Schizosaccharomyces pombe: one gene and its partner. Changing the gene in region 1 together with any one later gene gives a genetic interaction. Each region holds a gene or a part of one and is shown in the gene's direction. Other genes may lie near its edges.

Region 1 (8,275 bases):
ACTCGTTGTTATACATTTCTCAATAAATGAATATTTTGATCTTCCTAAATATGCGAACTGTAATAGTCAATTACCTTTAAATATATGACTGATTGAATAGCAAAACTATATATACATATATTTTGTAATATCATTTTTACCGAAATTTATAGTCCGTTTTAGTTTTATTCGTTTCATAGTCACATCTGCCATCTTTTTTTTGCTCACGTTGGTTTTTTGTAAACAGTATTCTCAGTGGATGCTGTTGTTAAGGTGATTATGATTTAATGATAGGCCTGGCAATACGTAAAATTTTTCTTTTTATTTTATTAAAGGAAATCTATTTACGTCGAATTAGTAACAAAGAGAATATGCAAAGAATTACATCTTTGGTTTATTTTTTCATATATAAGCACATATATGTATTTTTCTTTTGTTTGTCATTTGCAAAGCATCAGAGTTATGAGATATTTTACTTTGATGTTGCAAAATATTTTATGGAATTAAACATTCTTAATCCAAGGCTTGATACAATACCCACATGTACATTGGAAGTATGAGATTGTCATTCTCCGTTGAGACACCTTCCAAAATGGCCGTACATAAGGACATAAACAGCGTTTTCCAAAACGTTACTGAAGGACACACATGAAAAGCTTGCGTCAAGTGTAAAACGAGAAACACTGAGATTGAAAAGGCAAATACCCCCTCAATACTTTTATTCGTTTTTGAGATCCTATGTTTTCCGAACCTTTTCCCAATTATGCTAGCCATAGAATCTCCACACCCTAAACATAAAACACCAACCAGTAATTCAACCGACGCAACAGGACCTTTTAAAGCATTCGAAAGCCAAATAGGAATTGCACAACCAATTAAAAGATATATATGGGAAATAATCAAGGGGCCCTTGTGATCCCTGTTATCGGTATACTCCCATAAAAATTCATGGATCATTTTTCCAAATGGCTTAAGACGAAGTATGCGTATACCTTCAACAAACAGAAATATGAATAAAACTCCCGAAAAAGACAGGTGGAGAAAATGAGGATCTAAGCAACAAACCGGAAGAAATAAAAAGACAACCAAAGCATGATATGTCTTTCTACGAAAGTTCAGCACTTCATCTTCAGTGGTAAAGTATTTGCCAAGTGGATTATTACGGTTGCTTCGCAGAAGAATAAAAATAAAACAACCAAGGCAAATTATCCACCAAATAATTATTTTAATCCTCGTTAGGGAATTCCTATGCGAAAAAATTTGGTTGAACAACCATACTTCAGGTGCTTGTCCAAGTTGCCCAGCAACCCATGACCTGGACACTAAAAATACGAGCAAAGCGCTAAAGAAATAAATTAAACAAGTAGTAAAGAGTGCCGATAAATGTAATTTAGCAGCAAGCTTTAATATGCAAAGGTTTAACAAAATGAGTGTAGGTAAGGAAATGAGTAAAACTCCCGATAGCACTGAAACTACAGGAGATACTTCATACGAAAATGTAGCAAAACAAAGACCTGTAAGTCCGGTACAAATTAAAATGCCTTCAATGAAGGTAAAACTGTTTTGTGTAATTTCAAGAAAGGCAAGGATGACCGTTTCGTGAAGTTTTAAATTAACACTCGAATTACCCAGTCCATCTAAAACAATAGAGAGCCATTTCCATCTTTGTGTTAAGGACAAAAGAGCGTTGTAAAGACATACCGTGTACATCTCATGATACAAGACAGAGTTTTCTCCAAAGCCGACATAGAGGATACAAAAGGGAAACGATGATAACCACAATAACGGCCTAAATAATGAGTTAGTTGACTTAAGTTTAAAAATTTAATTGTTCGTAAAATCGTACTCATATAGCTGGATTATGCTAGACGAACCCAATAAATAAAAGCATGCAGGTAAAAAAAAGGACGCATTTGAAATTTGGAGGAACTTTTTGCCAGAGTTGCATAAGAAAGGAATGAATAAAACTGAAAATATTTCCAAAATACTTTCAAAATTCCGATGTTGATAATTCACTTCAACACATTCTTGCTCACGATCAATCTTTTCCGACGTATCATAACATTTTTTCGACATTATATACATTAAAAATCAACAAACAGTTAGCCAACAGAAATGATGTTTTTCATTAACAGAGGATTTGCTAAATAGCAACAATTGCAAAAAATCGTTAGATTGCTAAGTACTCTTATAACCAAAACATCAGATTCTCAAGTATTTTTATTAGGAAAGCGTTTTTTAAATGTTTAAGAATTAACAACCTCCAGTAATTTCAACTTTAATCGGTTTAGAGGAAAGCGTTTGTAGGAGGTGTTGATATTACCAGTAAAGTACTATATGGAGACAACTGTTACATCGAATATTACGATCAAGATTCATTTCAATAAGAAAATTGAGGATTTGTTTATATCTTGAAGATAAACTAATTTCTCTCTCTCATTAAGTACTACAATAAGTTGAGAACATTGAAATATTGAAACTGTCAGCCTAGTAGTAAAACGTTGATTTGAAAGAATGATCATAGTTTGTTTGAATGAATTTCATAAACTTGTTGAAATAAGAGTAAAAAGAATTAAATGAATTTGTAAAACAATTGGGATTTATAAAGCAATTTAATGCGCCTTTTCTAGCAGCCAAATGGGTTTCCCAGTCAATTTTTAGAACAATTTCTGTAAGTAACCAGAAATGCCTTCAAATTCACTAGAATCTATATCGTTTTTATTACAAAGAATGAACATTCTTTAATGTAAAATGAACCTTGATAAAAATGAGCCATTTATTTACATTGGATTTTTAAAACATATATTGAATTACGATGAGTTTGGCAACCACGCTATACTGCAGGTATATTTAAAACACGATTTTGTCATTTGCATAACACCAACACGTTCATTGAAGGATTGTTTAGTTTAAAGACAGGTCTATTCATTTCTTTTGTATTATTTGGGATTGATATCCTAGAAAAATAGAAGAATTGTGAGTATCGTAAAAGTCTTTTTCTTTTGAAGCGTGTTCATGACAGCGCAAGACTCTATACCTTCGCTGGAGCAGCTTGTTCAGCAAAAAAGAGTTAAGGAAGAGAAGGCGGCGAGACCAAAGTTTTTATCCAAAGCTGAAAGAGCTCGATTGGCCCTTGAAAGACGACAAAAAGAGGTTGAAGAAGCGAAAGCAAAACAGAATGACAAATTATTAGATTTAAGAAAAAGGACTTTTACCAATCATTTAGAAAATAATGAATTAGCAGATGATGAAAAAAAATCCCAGGTATCCTCTGTATCTAGCAATAACAGTGGCACAGAGAGCTCCGCAACGGACGAAGCATTCAGCATGACCATTCGTCAAAGGTACATGGGTATAAAGCCTCCTGTGGTAAAAAAAAGAAGAAGAAATGCTGATAAAAAATTTGTATTTGATTGGGACGCCACAGACGATACCATGAAGGATGCGGAAACCTCGGCATCACCTGAGGCTACAATTGCTGTATTTGGAAGGGGGAAATTAGGCGGATTTGATGACCAGTCGATTCGAAAAGCGAAAAGTAATTCTGGTTTGATTCAGCGTTTGCTTCAAGGAACGGAGCAGGATAAGGCTCGCGCACACGAGTTGATTCAGCTTCAAGAAAAACGAGCCAAAAAAATAGATTGGGACGATGTGCCATGGAGGGAAAAGCCATTGGAAGCCATGAAACCCAGAGACTGGAGAATCCTCAAGGAAGATTATAATATATCCATTAAAGGGGATGATTTACCAAATCCTTTAAGAAATTGGGAAGAAGCAGGCTTACCAAGTGAGATGCTTAAAGTTTTGAAGAAAGTTAACTATAAAGAACCAAGTTCTATTCAAAGGGCAGCCATACCTGTTTTACTACAGCGTAAAGATTTAATTGGAATTGCCGAAACTGGTAGTGGTAAGACTGCCGCCTTTATAATCCCTCTCATAATTGCCATATCAAAATTGCCCCCATTAACCGAATCAAACATGCATCTTGGCCCATATGCTGTAGTTTTAGCACCAACACGTGAATTGGCCCAGCAAATTCAAGTGGAAGGCAACAAGTTTGCGGAACCTTTGGGTTTCCGGTGTGTTTCTGTCGTTGGTGGTCATGCTTTTGAAGAGCAATCATTTCAAATGAGTCAAGGTGCTCATATAGTTGTAGCTACTCCTGGTCGTCTTCTTGATTGTCTTGAAAGACGGCTATTTGTTCTCAGCCAATGCACTTATGTTGTAATGGACGAGGCGGATAGGATGCTTGACATGGGATTTGAAGATGATGTTAATAAAATTTTGTCATCACTCCCTTCCTCAAATGCTTCTGAAAAGGATGGGTCAATTCTTGCTACTGCAAATTCCTCTTCGTCAAGACGTCAAACCATTATGTTCAGTGCGACCTTACCCCCACGTGTTGCTAATTTGGCAAAGAGCTATTTAATTGAACCAGTGATGTTAACTATTGGAAACATTGGCCAGGCAGTTGACCGCGTTGAACAGCGTGTTGAGATGATATCTGACGATAGCAAAAAATGGAGAAGAGTTGAGGAGATTTTGGAATCTAATCGATTTTCACCTCCTATTATCATATTTGTAAATCTCAAGCGTAATATCGAGGCTATTGCGAAGCAATTAAATGCCATTGGTTGGCATGCTGTTACTCTTCATGGCAGTAAAAGTCAAGAACAGAGAGAGCGAGCTATCGAACAGTTAAGGAATAAGACGGCTGATATTCTTGTTGCAACTGACATTGCAGGTCGTGGTATTGATATACCTAATGTCTCTTTGGTATTGAATTACAACATGGCTAAAAGCATTGAAGACTATACCCATAGAATTGGTCGTACAGGTCGTGCAGGAAAATCTGGTACAGCAATAACGTTTTTGGGACCAGAGGATACTGATGTATATTATGATTTACGCGTGTTATTAAGCCGAAGCGCGAAAGCACATATTCCTGATGAATTACGGAATCATGAAGCAGCATTTGTTAGACATGCAGCAATCACCCAGTAAATATTGTCTTTGGAGCATAACATTGAATGGGCACTTTATAATGGCCTTTTTGTACGTTACACTATGCTGAAATATGATTTAGTGATTTATTATAAAGTTTTCTTGTATATAAACAGTTTCTAATTTAATGACTTCAACAATTGAAAAAGTTAGTTTATTTCTTAAATCCTTGTAAGTGTGCTTACAGCAAGCAATCCTTAGTCTTAGTCTACTGCATGTACGAAAATTATTTACAAGCATCTATGCATTGTGTGTATTTAATGGATAAAATTTCGCACTAATAAAACGTACAGAAGAAAGTACACCCTGCTTGTATACGATAAGAGTTTTACTTGTACAATAACCATTTAGGAAAATTTTGATTATTGAAAATGCTCACAAGCTAAAAGAAAGGATGACAGTTCAAGCTCGGATATCCACAAAGGCTGAGCAAAAAAAGGCGAGTATAATCGTTATCATATTGCTACGAACAACTTCATTGAAGTTTCCATTCCGAAGGGATTGTCAGAAACTGGTCTAAATCATGCCTCATGAAAAAATGTATCCTAATTTAATTTTTTAAAATTTCGTAGCAAGACTTACATTAAAATGATGAAAGAATCTAGATGAAAACGAAAGATCGTAATCGTGAAAGTGCTTAATCTTGGCGACCCTTAACAAGTCGTTTGATACATTTGTCTGCGGTGATAACATAAACGACACAGCCCCATCCACTAATACAATCACGATCTTGGGCGTTAAGTAAAGCTTGGGAGATAGTCTCAAAGAGATCGTCAGGCTCTAAATTGGGCTCGTATACAGACTCACACATACCATAAAGTTGTTCTGTAGCGGTTCCAGAAACGATGAAATCCTCTGCAAAATCGATGCATCCAATGGAATCGAATCCACAGATAAACGGGGTATTGTCATTAGATACACCAGCAACTACTGGGAATGAGAAATAGGGACCAAATCTTTTTTCGTAAAGGGTGGAAGAAACCAAATTAGCAAATGTCTTGGGTTGAATTTGACGCTCTTCGCGGAATTTGTAAAGGTTCACTTTGTACCGAAATAACTCATAAAGCGTCTGAACATCCGTAGCAAGACCCGTCAGTCCCAAATACGTTTTGTCACCCATCGCAAACACCTTAGGAAAGTTGTTGGTCAAAGAAATTGACTGAACACCCAACCGCAAGTCCGATGCAATAGCCACGCAGTTTTTACCTGCCATGGCTACGCATGAACCACCATTATATTCCATAATACTCATTTTGTAGGATTCACTGTTTGTATGAGGAAAGGTTCTTGCTGACAAAAGAAGCACACGAATAACCACAGATGATATGTTATCGCGAGCGCACAATAACCAAATACCGTATTGGATAGGATGCGATAGTTTGATTTACCGTATGTTTAGCGATGCAAGGAGTATATCGTATTACTAGAGCCCTTCCTTTAAAAAATCACTATTGACTTTTTACGATATCCATAATAAAGAGGTATAAGAAGTGAAAATGATAGATCGTAAAGTTCACAATAAAAAGGTGTTCAGAGGTATCACTTAGACTATTGAATAATATTTAATGAGAGAAGAATAAGTCTCCCTGAAATAGCTTCCTCTAACGAGAATGTTGGAATGGCACTAGTGCTGCTACGCTTTGGCTGTGCCATACTGCCACGTCGTAGTCTGTGCATTACCGAGCGATCACATTTTAAAGGAATATCAAGCGAACTTCAATCTAACTACTTTGGCACCACCAGCGTAGCAAATATCTTCAACAACCATTTCATCAGTCTCTGCGATCTAGCAACAGCAAGATAGCTTGAGAAGGAATAACGGCGCACATGCTCGACATACCCTTGTAAAAACTCAATAAACCGATCATTTCATTTTATCAGTGTACATTAAACTGCGTTAGCTGCGCTTTAGAAGAAAGTAGTCTAAGAGAATTAAAAGTAAATAATGCCATATAGCTAACTCGATGAAGGATTGTTAGGACTGTAATCATACAACCATACAAATGCAAGAAATATCGCTATAGCGGGAAAGACAAAAATTGGGTTAAAAAAGGTATTTTTAACCGTTCTTTTGTTGTTTATTCAAAGTCATCTTTATCAAGGACTCTAAATCCAAAAGATATAAATAAACATCCGGAAGTGAAAAATTTGACTTGAGCTTCCTTTCAATCCTATTTGCCAAAGAAATTCCCATACTTTGTCTTCTTTCTATCCAACACTCCGATAAGATATCGCACATAACATCGCTAATTAGCATAACACAAATTAACCTATCGGTATCTATATAACGTGGTATAACCCGTCCCTATGCGATATACCACGTTTATTAAGTTCGTTATTCAGCACACCGAATTTTGCACCACTGCGATATTTGAGAGGCTCATATTGCTGAAATCGTGTGGTATACGTATTCCTCCAACTACCATGTTCAAAGACTACTATGCCATTCTCAACATCACCCCCAAAGCCAGTGCTGAGGAGATAAAATATGCGTATAAAAAGGCTGCTCTGGAGACGCACCCTGATAGAGTATCGCCCAGTGCTCGTGCTCGAGCCACTGAACAATTTCAGCTGGTGAACGAAGCATACTACGTCTTAAGTGACAATTCTCGACGAGCTCAGTACGATCGTGAAAGTGCCTCTTCCTCTGCTAAACCAAGACAATCGTTTTTTTCCCGCACAAACCCTCAACCCCAAAGTCAGAGTCAACAAGGAGGGCCAAGTTTTGGATTTCGCCAATCCTTTTCCGATTCGCAATTCGAGCAGGTGTTCAACGAAATGATGAATGAGACATCGACCAGAGGCATTGCCAATGCCTTTTGGACCATCGTAGGTACGTTAGCTGGTGCGGCGTTGGGATTTATCACGTTTGATGTGCCTGGTGTTCTTGTAGGCTCGGCTGCCGGTGCTAAACTTGGGCGAATTCGTGACACCCATGGAAAAAGCGCTTACAGCGTCTTTCAAGACATGCCTGCAGTAGAAAAAGCTCGCATATTAACCCAATTCCTCTCCCATCTCCTTAATTCTTCCAAGCAGTTCACCTCCTCCTAAACGCGTCTTTTTGTTTACGTGTCGCAAAATTTATTAAATCAGTTACGCGTCGCGCTTTCCAGCACTGTCCACATTTGGTCCAATCAGTCGCAGCCCGTCCCTTTCTCCCATGCATTTTCGGCTCGTCCATCAGAGCGAGTTCGTTGATGTCATGTGATGTCATGTTTTGCAATGATGATGTAACTACTTTTCTTAGTTTCTCATAATGAAAATCGCTCCTTCTTTTTACCTAACTCAGTCT
Region 2 (8,935 bases), on another chromosome or scaffold:
AAATCGTGCATCGCAGAACGAAACGCTCAGTCCTCGAGTTTTTTAATCTGCTTAACAGCAAAAAGAATATGTGGTTGATATAAGGCGCAAGTATGTTAGCATTGAAAACTGTGAAAACTCGGTCCAAGAGATCAAACCCAAAATGATCATTAACCTTTGAAGAAATCAATTTTTGGAAAATTCCCAAAACCGGTTCAACAAACTTATTGGAAATAAATATCTGAGGACCACGAAATATCATTGCCCGTAATAGGCGAACTAAGGCAGGTATATTACCCTTTGAATCCCATAAAGCTGGAGATAAACACGGCTGTATGAGATTGACAACAAAGTCAGGAAGAGGTTCATTGCCACTAGCTTCAACTAATTGAGATAGCAGTTGTAGGACATACGGAATAAACTCAGTAACATCTTCTATAAGCACATTTTGAAAGACTGGAAGTAGGGCATTTTCCAGTTGAGAGACGGTTTGGGGACCAGATTTAGATAAACTACGAATAAGTGCACCAATAGATTCGAAGAGATAGTGGTTAAATTTTGGATTGGAAGGATTCTTGCTAACCTCTTCCGTAATTTTTGTGAGGTGCTGAAGAAGAAGGCTAGCAGCTGGAAGAATGGCTTCTTGAGACATAATAATAATTCGCATTACTGCTTTCATTAGATAATCATTTTCGGCAAGTTTTTGTGGTGTGGATGCAGATTCCACAATTAGGAAAAGTTGATTTAGAGCGGGTAATATGTGTGGAGCAATTAGTAAACTTGTAAAGATATGAACATGATTATGACGAACAGTCAGCAACTGATCTAATGCTATTGCAGCGTATGTGTAAACGACAAAGCTGGGCATTTCCAAAAAGCGTAAAATTGTAGGGAAAATGTCAATAAGCTGTTGGGAATTTAGCTGGTTGCGAAATGTAAATACATATTTAATATCCTCGGCAAGAACCATGGGATGAATGACGCCAGCAGGTTGTAAAAGATCCGGCTTAATATTATTCTCGAAAAAAGCAACAACGTCTACCATCAAATTAATAGATGTAACGCCGAGTCTTGTGGATTGACCCTTTATAGCAATAGCCGAAAAGAGCTGAAGCGCTACGTATTTTTTATTCCATTCAAGAGAAGGATTTGTTGAGAATTGTTGAAGATTAGCATTGATGTGAGTTGAGACTACACTCGTAATTTTTTGATCAAAGTGATCCAAAAGTCCACGAACAAGAACGATTGCGGATCTGGCGCGAGAATCACTGTTCGAACCTTCAAGATCACGGCGGACATATTCTAAAGGATCGTCTTCAAATAATTCTTCATCAGATTCCCGCAAACATATATTAGGAAGAACGACGAGTTCAATGAATTGTTGTAAAACTTGGTCTTGCTGGAAAAACTCGGCATGCTTGCGAATTCTAATGACGGATGTCAAAAATGCCATAGCCTTACCAACTAAACCATCGTATTTTTCATCAGGAGTCAAGGTTGTCAAAAGTGTCCATGTTACGTTGACGAAGTCATACAACATGGTAAACACCTCTTCGTATCGAAGGGTATATAGCTCGACGATTTCACAAATACTTGCTTTAACTTTAATAAGGACATTTGTCTCTCCTTCGTCACCCTCCAAGCTGGGGTTAGTGTAGGTAAAGTAGTTTAAGAAGGCGGTCATGAATTCGCTCATATGATCTTCAAAGAATTCCGGAATGTCTTGGCAATTCAAATCATAAAAAAGTTTACACTCCAAAAGGATAACCTGAAATAAACTGTTAAGAGACTCTGCATCTTGTGGACCGTTACGCAATAAGTTGTTGGTTTGCACGAAGAGAGCGAGAAATGGTTCGCAAAAACGATCCAACACATATTTGATCTCCAAAAAAAGTGCATCGCTACGGAATAAAGGTCTCCAGCGCTTAAAAATCGCATGTGCAGTAGAAAGTACAGCAATATTCGTGTTCATGTCAACAGCAGACAATTTAGATATCAGATCGGGGAGAAGAGTGTCCCACCGATCAGGGAAATCAAAGTTGGCAATATAACCAATTACTTCACCTAGCTGAACTTGAATAATGGTAGTACTTTTCAGCATCAAGTTGATTATTTCGCGTTTGATCAATTCTGCCACCTCATCGCTGATACGAATAGAAGCACCTTCCTCAGAATCCCAATGTTTTTTAATGTAATTTTTGAAATACAATGAAGCGGCCAGCTTAATATTGATGTCTACTGTATCCTCAGCGACAATATTGAGGAGTTTTAGTGCAAAAGAACTATCTTGTAATTCCCATACTTTCAGTGCTTCCTCAGCTATATCAGTTAGTAAATTTGCTTTATCCACTCTGTTGGGGTATCTTACCACTTTTGGAAGTCGTAGGGTTTAATGTTCTCGCAAGAAGAGTTGGAATGTCATCCATAGTTTTCCTACAGGGATTGTGGTTAAGGGCAGATTTTGAAGGACACCGACGTAACTAGAACAATTTCTCTAACATCGTTATAGAGAATTTTTAATTCCGGTTTTATTTATTAAATAATTTTCTCTTAAGTTTGATATAGTTAACATCTTTTAATTAGTTTGTTTGCTTCTTTTTCAGGCTTGTTAATGTAATACTTTTCTTCGCTTAATTTTTGTTTTTTTTTCTATTAAAACACCCTAATATACCAATATTTGTAAATAAATAGTTGGACTATACTTGATAAATTACTTAAAAAAGGAATTAAAACTAATAAAATCTATAATTCATTATCAATAATTCAAGGGTTCACATTTTAATTATCAGCTTGTAAATACCTAATTTCCGAATTACTTGGTTTTAGTTTGCAAGCTCATTAAACATTTTATGAACCGTCAGAATAGAAATCGCTTTATACGTGGACTTGAAAGTTGTGTTAGTTGACTTTTGTTTCAAATCTAATTCTTGTTTATGCCATCAAATTCTACATGTGCAATATAGCATCTCCATCTTTATCTCAAATACTACAAACCTTTTTTTATTGTAGTATTTAGTTTTTTTCCTTCTTGAATCGGATATTCCTTTTGCGAGTTGACTTGAAACCATAGATTTGCAAAAGTAAATAATTAAGTCATAAACATATATATTTTACACGTACAAGCCCTTGTCCATAGAGTTCAACAACCTAAATCCAATTGCTTGATAATAGAAATTACCATATTCTACTATCTTGTTTCATTCATCAATAGGTTTACACATATGAAAGCACGTTTATAGAAAACAATGAAATTTATAAAATGACATTGCGTCGAGTCTTATGTAGCCAGAAAGAAAGAAGGAAAAATAATGAATAAAAAATAAAAAAAAGGTTAGACCAGATAAATTTGAATTAATGTGTCAATTTTGATTGCTCCTTTCAAAAAAAAAAAAAAAAAAAAAAGAAAGAAAAGGAGGATAACGGGATCTCGAATATGTTAACTCATATGCTTTTACTATTTTAAAAAAAAAAAAAATAATTTATTAAAAAAATATCTGTTTCCGCAAGAAGAAGATGTTGTACTCGTGATTGTTTACAGTTTCGCCAAGTCTACTAACAGAGCAAGTTAATAAATATTGTTTCTATTACAAGAGGAATAAGATATTATTTTGTTTTTAAAATTTTAGATACCTGACTAATCGATAAATGCTTCCCAATGCTAACAATTGTCATTGACTTGGAAATAAGAGACACTGCAAAGGCAAGAAATCACGTTTGCGAGATTTAAAGGAATGAGTGTAAAGATTTTTTAGGAATTTAAGCATTTTCTGAAACACACAGATTAGGTTCTTAAAGGCAGCACTAAACAACTCGTTATATGCACTTCGTCTGCTTTTCAAGCACTTTCAGCTGCCAAGCGCCTTAGACGTTAATATATTGAAACGTGTATTTTAAGGTCCCTTTACTCTTTGTTTGATTTAGTATGAGGAATCATGAATAATCAAGGGTTTGTTCCTGCGAGTGATTATCCAACCGCAGTATCATATCCCACGCAAGGTCAAAGTTATAATACTCAGGAAGAACAACCTGCGTATCCTCAACGCTTTTCGACAAGCCAAGGGATGTATGCAGCAGAATATGGAAATGCAAACATGATGAATACTTCCGAGAATGAGCCTAACAATTTGGCTCATTCACAGCCCTTCCGACAATCTCCATCAACTCAACGTAATTTGCCAAATCAATCATTTGATTTCGCCTCTAACGGTGCATGGAATGGCTCTGGATCTGTGAAATACTCTAGTCCCATGATGCCTTCAAGTCGGATCCCGTTTCAACAAGAAAAAGAGGCTGCAATGCAGCAGCAACAACAACAGCAACAGCAGCAACAACTTTATCAACGACAAATGCAAAGCAGAGAGGCCTTACTCTCTCAACAAATTCCTCCTAATCAAATTGGCATCAATGCCCACCCAGCTGTAAGACAAACTCCTCAACCTGCACCTTCCCCAAATACTCCCTCTGGTAATGCTAATCAACTAACGCCTGCTTATGCTGCTAGTTTTGACAAATTCATGGTTAGCCTTATTTCTTTTATGGAAAAGCGGGGGACGCCAATCAAATCTTATCCTCAAATAAATAATACGCCTATTAATTTAATGATGCTGTACGCCTTGGTTATGCGTGCCGGTGGATCTCGACAAGTCTCAGCTCATAATTTTTGGCCAAAAATTTCTGCTTCCTTGGGGTTTCCATCTCCTGATGCTATTTCCCTTCTAATTCAATATTACAATTCCTATCTGCTTCCATATGAAGAAGCATGGCTTGCTGCTCAACAGCAACAAAAATCACTTCAACAAGCAAAAGCTAATCATTCTGCGAATGTTCAAAGCAGACCAAAAAACTATCCACAAAAGCCGGTCCAAACCACCCCAGAAGCTGTACATGCCAATGGTTCTATGCATGGATCACTTCACTCAAAGTCACCCTCCCCAGCATTCACCGCTAATCGTTTCTCTCCAGCTGCTCCTACCACAGTTAGTTCTGAAAGAAATGCTCCACCATACCCTTCTGCTCCGACTCGACCCACTCCGCCCACCGTTCAAACTTCTTCTTCGGCAGCTCCTGTTGATTCTGCCGAACCCGTTGCTTATCAACCGATAAAAAAGCCCATCGATCCTATGTTGGGTTATCCCTTGAATGTCGCGGCCACGTATAGGCTCGATGAATCTTTGCTTCGGCTTCAGATGCCTTCAATCGTAGATCTGGGGACTGTAAACATTCAAGCCTTGTGCATGAGCCTGCAATCTACTTTGGAAAAAGAAATAACGTATGCAATGAACGTTTTACTTATATTAACAAATGATCAAAAATGGATGTTTCCGTTAAGTGAGTGCCAGGATGTAGTTGATGCGTTGATTGACGTTGCAACTCAGTGCCTTGATAATCTGCTATCTGTTCTTCCTAATGAGGATTTAATGGAAATCGCCGATAAACGTCCTTCTTATAGACAACTTCTTTACAATTGTTGCGTAGAGATATCGCAGTTCTCCAGAGAAGACTTTTCAAATTCACTAAGCGAAAACAAAACAAAAGATAGCATCAATGCTATTGATGTTCATAATTCGGAGCAAAATTTGTTAGCTGTTTTCGTTATTTTTAGAAATCTCTCTCACTTTGAGGCCAACCAAAACGTTTTGGTACAAAATCCAGATTTTTTTCCTCTACTCATTCGTGTAGTCAAAAGTCTTAATTTTCATGCCACTTCCCTTCTACGTTCATCAAGAAATACCTTGGATTTGCATAAAGATGTATTAATCGTACTTTGTCAACTTTCTCAAAATTTCATTCTACCGAATGTCGACGTTGCTCGTCACGTTTTACTATTTATTTTGTCTTTTTCTCCATTTAACAGAAAGAAGAGTAAAACTATTTTAAATGACACCCTTCCAACCTCTATACCTAGTTACACACCTGCTACCCATCCCTATGCTGGTCCCGCCATTAATGCCTATGCCAAATTACTAGCCAAAGATGCTAACAACAAGACAAACTTTCAAGCTATTTTTGATAACAATCCAAAATTTTTAGACTCCCTTTTTCTACTTCTTGCTTCTGTTGTCCCAAAATTTAACCGCCACTGCCTTAAAATATGCGAGCGAAGGTTACCCTTATTGCAGCAGTCATTTTTTTGTTTAGCAGCTACCGTTTCCTATGTTAAACAATCGGAACAAGCGGCAAATTGGTGTAATATAGGCGAGGGATTTTTTGTTTCCATGTTACGCCTACTCATACTATTATCAGGTCATCCTTCCCTTAATCCACCATCACGTGTAGCATCGCAGTATCCTACTACGAATCCTTTTCGTTATGTGATTCAGAGTGGCATATCTACGGTGCGTCGACTTTTGAGCTTAGTGGAAGCTGGAAATATTTCATTATCTTCTTTCCCCAAAAGTGAAACTCTCCTCGCTGTTTTGCTGGCTCCTACAACAGAAACCTCGTTTCTAAAAGAGATCTCAAATTTATTGGATCGAACTGGGGACAGTGATGCGTCTTTAGAAAATACGGATGATAAATCTGGCATTTAATTTGTAGATAATTTTCCAAACGTTTAATATTTTTGTCTTCATTCTAGTTAATCTGATGCGTTTCTGTATGTATATTGTCTAAACATGCTTTCAAATTTTTAGAGATGATTTATTTACTTTATAGAAAGACTACTTAACCTATGTAGAGTTAATTGCCATTCTACGCATTGCAACAATTTTATTAAGAGTATTTTCAAGCAATTCTAAATAGACTGAATTCAATAAATCAACCAGACTACAATTTCCATCACAACAAGAAAAAGTTTAACTACTCTATATTGGAGAACATGATAATCAACCTTTATCACCACTACAACTACAAGCCAAACACAACACAAAAAAATTTAATTAAAAAAAAAAAAAGGAAAAATTTGCAAGATCAACATCAGACATCCAAAGGAAGGACTATGCACGACATCTGCGGCAAAATTGGGTTCGTATGCCGCTCCGGGGAAACTGCGAATGTTCAATGGAAATTTCATCACCTGTTGATCAATGCAAAAAAAAACCTTCGCCGAACAATCCAAAAAGCAATACAGCACTATATATGTTTATAACTAAAAGGATGTAAAGTCCAATCTCCACCATAACTCGTACGTACAGGAGTAGCTACACGAAAAACACACATTATTTTCACCATACAGAACATACACGTTTAGTTCGCGAGTTTAAGCATAGCAAGAAATTTGAAAGTTTCGCACAAATACACCTAAAAAAGAAGTTAGTACACTGAAAGATTATACACAATACAGAGATTACTAAGATACTGGAACAACGAAAACAATTCAGACATCGAAGATACTGGCAAGTATGGTCTCCACCTATAGTGGAGACAAAGTTATCGTCATAGTCGATAGGACGGGTAAAGAAGACATAATAATATCATCAGAACAGCTTCGTTGTACTCAGACATCAATCAGCATACGGCGAACATACCTTTACAAACAAGTTTAACAAGGCACTTAAAGAACGACAAAGATTCAGTTTGAGTTCAAGGTTTCAGTATGCGTACGGGATTTACCCCCTACTAAGCTTTAACACCCAGTTAATCTCAAACTATAGTCAAAAAGATACCACAGCAAGCGCAAAAAGGAATATGGTAGGTTTTTCTACCAACACAGTACCAATTACTGCACCAAGATGACTTAATCCCAGAAAAACAATAAAGCAACCATACACGACAGACATACTGTACAATCAAACGACTAGAATCAGACTAGAATCTCTCCAAAAAATACAACACAGATACAGGCGAACGCTTTCCAAGAGCCTGAAGGAGAACCATCCTAATATCAATAAATGTAACACACAAAATACAAGCCATTTACGATAAGAACCTAAGCCTTTCAACATCAGATAATCAATCAATAAACCTCTTGTCTCCACTACTTTGGCGTCCTAGCATATTAATTTGATGTGGCTCCTTCAGACTCATGGAAGTAGAACGTTGGCTTATGAAGGCGTCTGATCGGTATATATACCTTTTAAAACCCTAACCCTGCTTCATCCTCAAATTTCTGGAAGGATGTGAGTGGTTGGGGAAGAAGTGTGTAGCAACCGTTGACATCGCTTGTGTCCAAATATGCACTTTTGCGCATTACGGTGGTGAGGTTTGCAGTACGGTATATGGACAGAACGTTTTAGAAAGTAGCAAGTTGGAGTAATGTAACAAACTATAACAAAACAACTCTACAACACTTTTAAATTCGATATGTGTTTATAACATATTAAAACGCGAAAAATGGAAGTACATTAAATAGGACAGCGAGATTTTTATTTTTCTTTATTCATCGTTATATGTTTTCTTTTCACAACCAAGAACACACTTTACAGTTCTCATCTAGAAAATCATGTGTTGAGTAATCTATTAAAAATTTCACAACTCTTCGACACAAAATTTTTTTATACCTAAAAAATCAATGATAAATGACCGTAAAAGAATTACCTGCTTTTCCTTTTCTTTGAAACTAACTCTCGTTTCATATAGTCAATTTTGTTACCTCGTTACACTCACGTGCTATAGTGAGAAATATTTAAAGTAAGTAAATAAAACAGCTAGAGAAACATTAATGGAGTAGTAATTTTCGAAAAACGATATAGAAATTAGACCAAAGAATGAATTAGTAATCAATTTTAGTTCTAAAAAAAACCATATTAATTGTAATCAGTATTATCAAGAAATACTAACTGTGCTGTTGTTCTGTATAACGAAAAAATTTTGATGAATGATTTCTCTTGCAATATCGCATTCATTGCTTTTTTTCAAAATAAAGTAATTCGAGATACATCAACTATATCAAATCTTTCCTGAAATCAAGCCTTTTTTACTTAATTTATAAACATTACACTATGCGACACCATTTAAAAAATTTTTTTTGGTTGATTTCGAGGTATACAAACACAAAACTTAATACCGATGCAAAATT

What was found. A genetic interaction does not mean that the proteins touch.
Region 2: mutations in prp28 (region 1) and sol1 together harm fitness more than expected from each alone (negative genetic interaction), as found in Schizosaccharomyces pombe (one large-scale study listed by BioGRID).

What each region holds. Positions count from the first base shown.
Region 1 is NC_003421.2:854,159-862,433, forward strand, and holds prp28 (U5 snRNP-associated protein Prp28), read left to right. Parts: upstream 1-2,858; 5' UTR 2,859-2,994; coding exon 2,995-4,983; 3' UTR 4,984-5,134; downstream 5,135-8,275. Other genes in the region: dolichol kinase Sec59, read right to left, coding at 493-1,768, 1,826-2,064; proteasome core particle subunit beta 3 Pup3, read right to left, coding at 5,621-6,235; SPOM_SPCC63.13 (DNAJ (Hsp40) chaperone family protein), read left to right, coding at 7,408-8,034. UniProt on the Schizosaccharomyces pombe protein: ATP-dependent RNA helicase involved in mRNA splicing. May destabilize the U1/5'-splice site duplex to permit an effective competition for the 5'-splice site by the U6 snRNA, resulting in the switch between U1 and U6 at the 5'-splice site.
Region 2 is NC_003423.3:1,306,701-1,315,635, reverse strand, and holds sol1 (SWI/SNF complex subunit Sol1), read left to right. Parts: upstream 1-3,833; 5' UTR 3,834-3,911; coding exon 3,912-6,509; 3' UTR 6,510-6,564; downstream 6,565-8,935. Other genes in the region: karyopherin/importin beta family nuclear export signal receptor Kap109, read right to left, coding at 1-2,298, 2,348-2,405.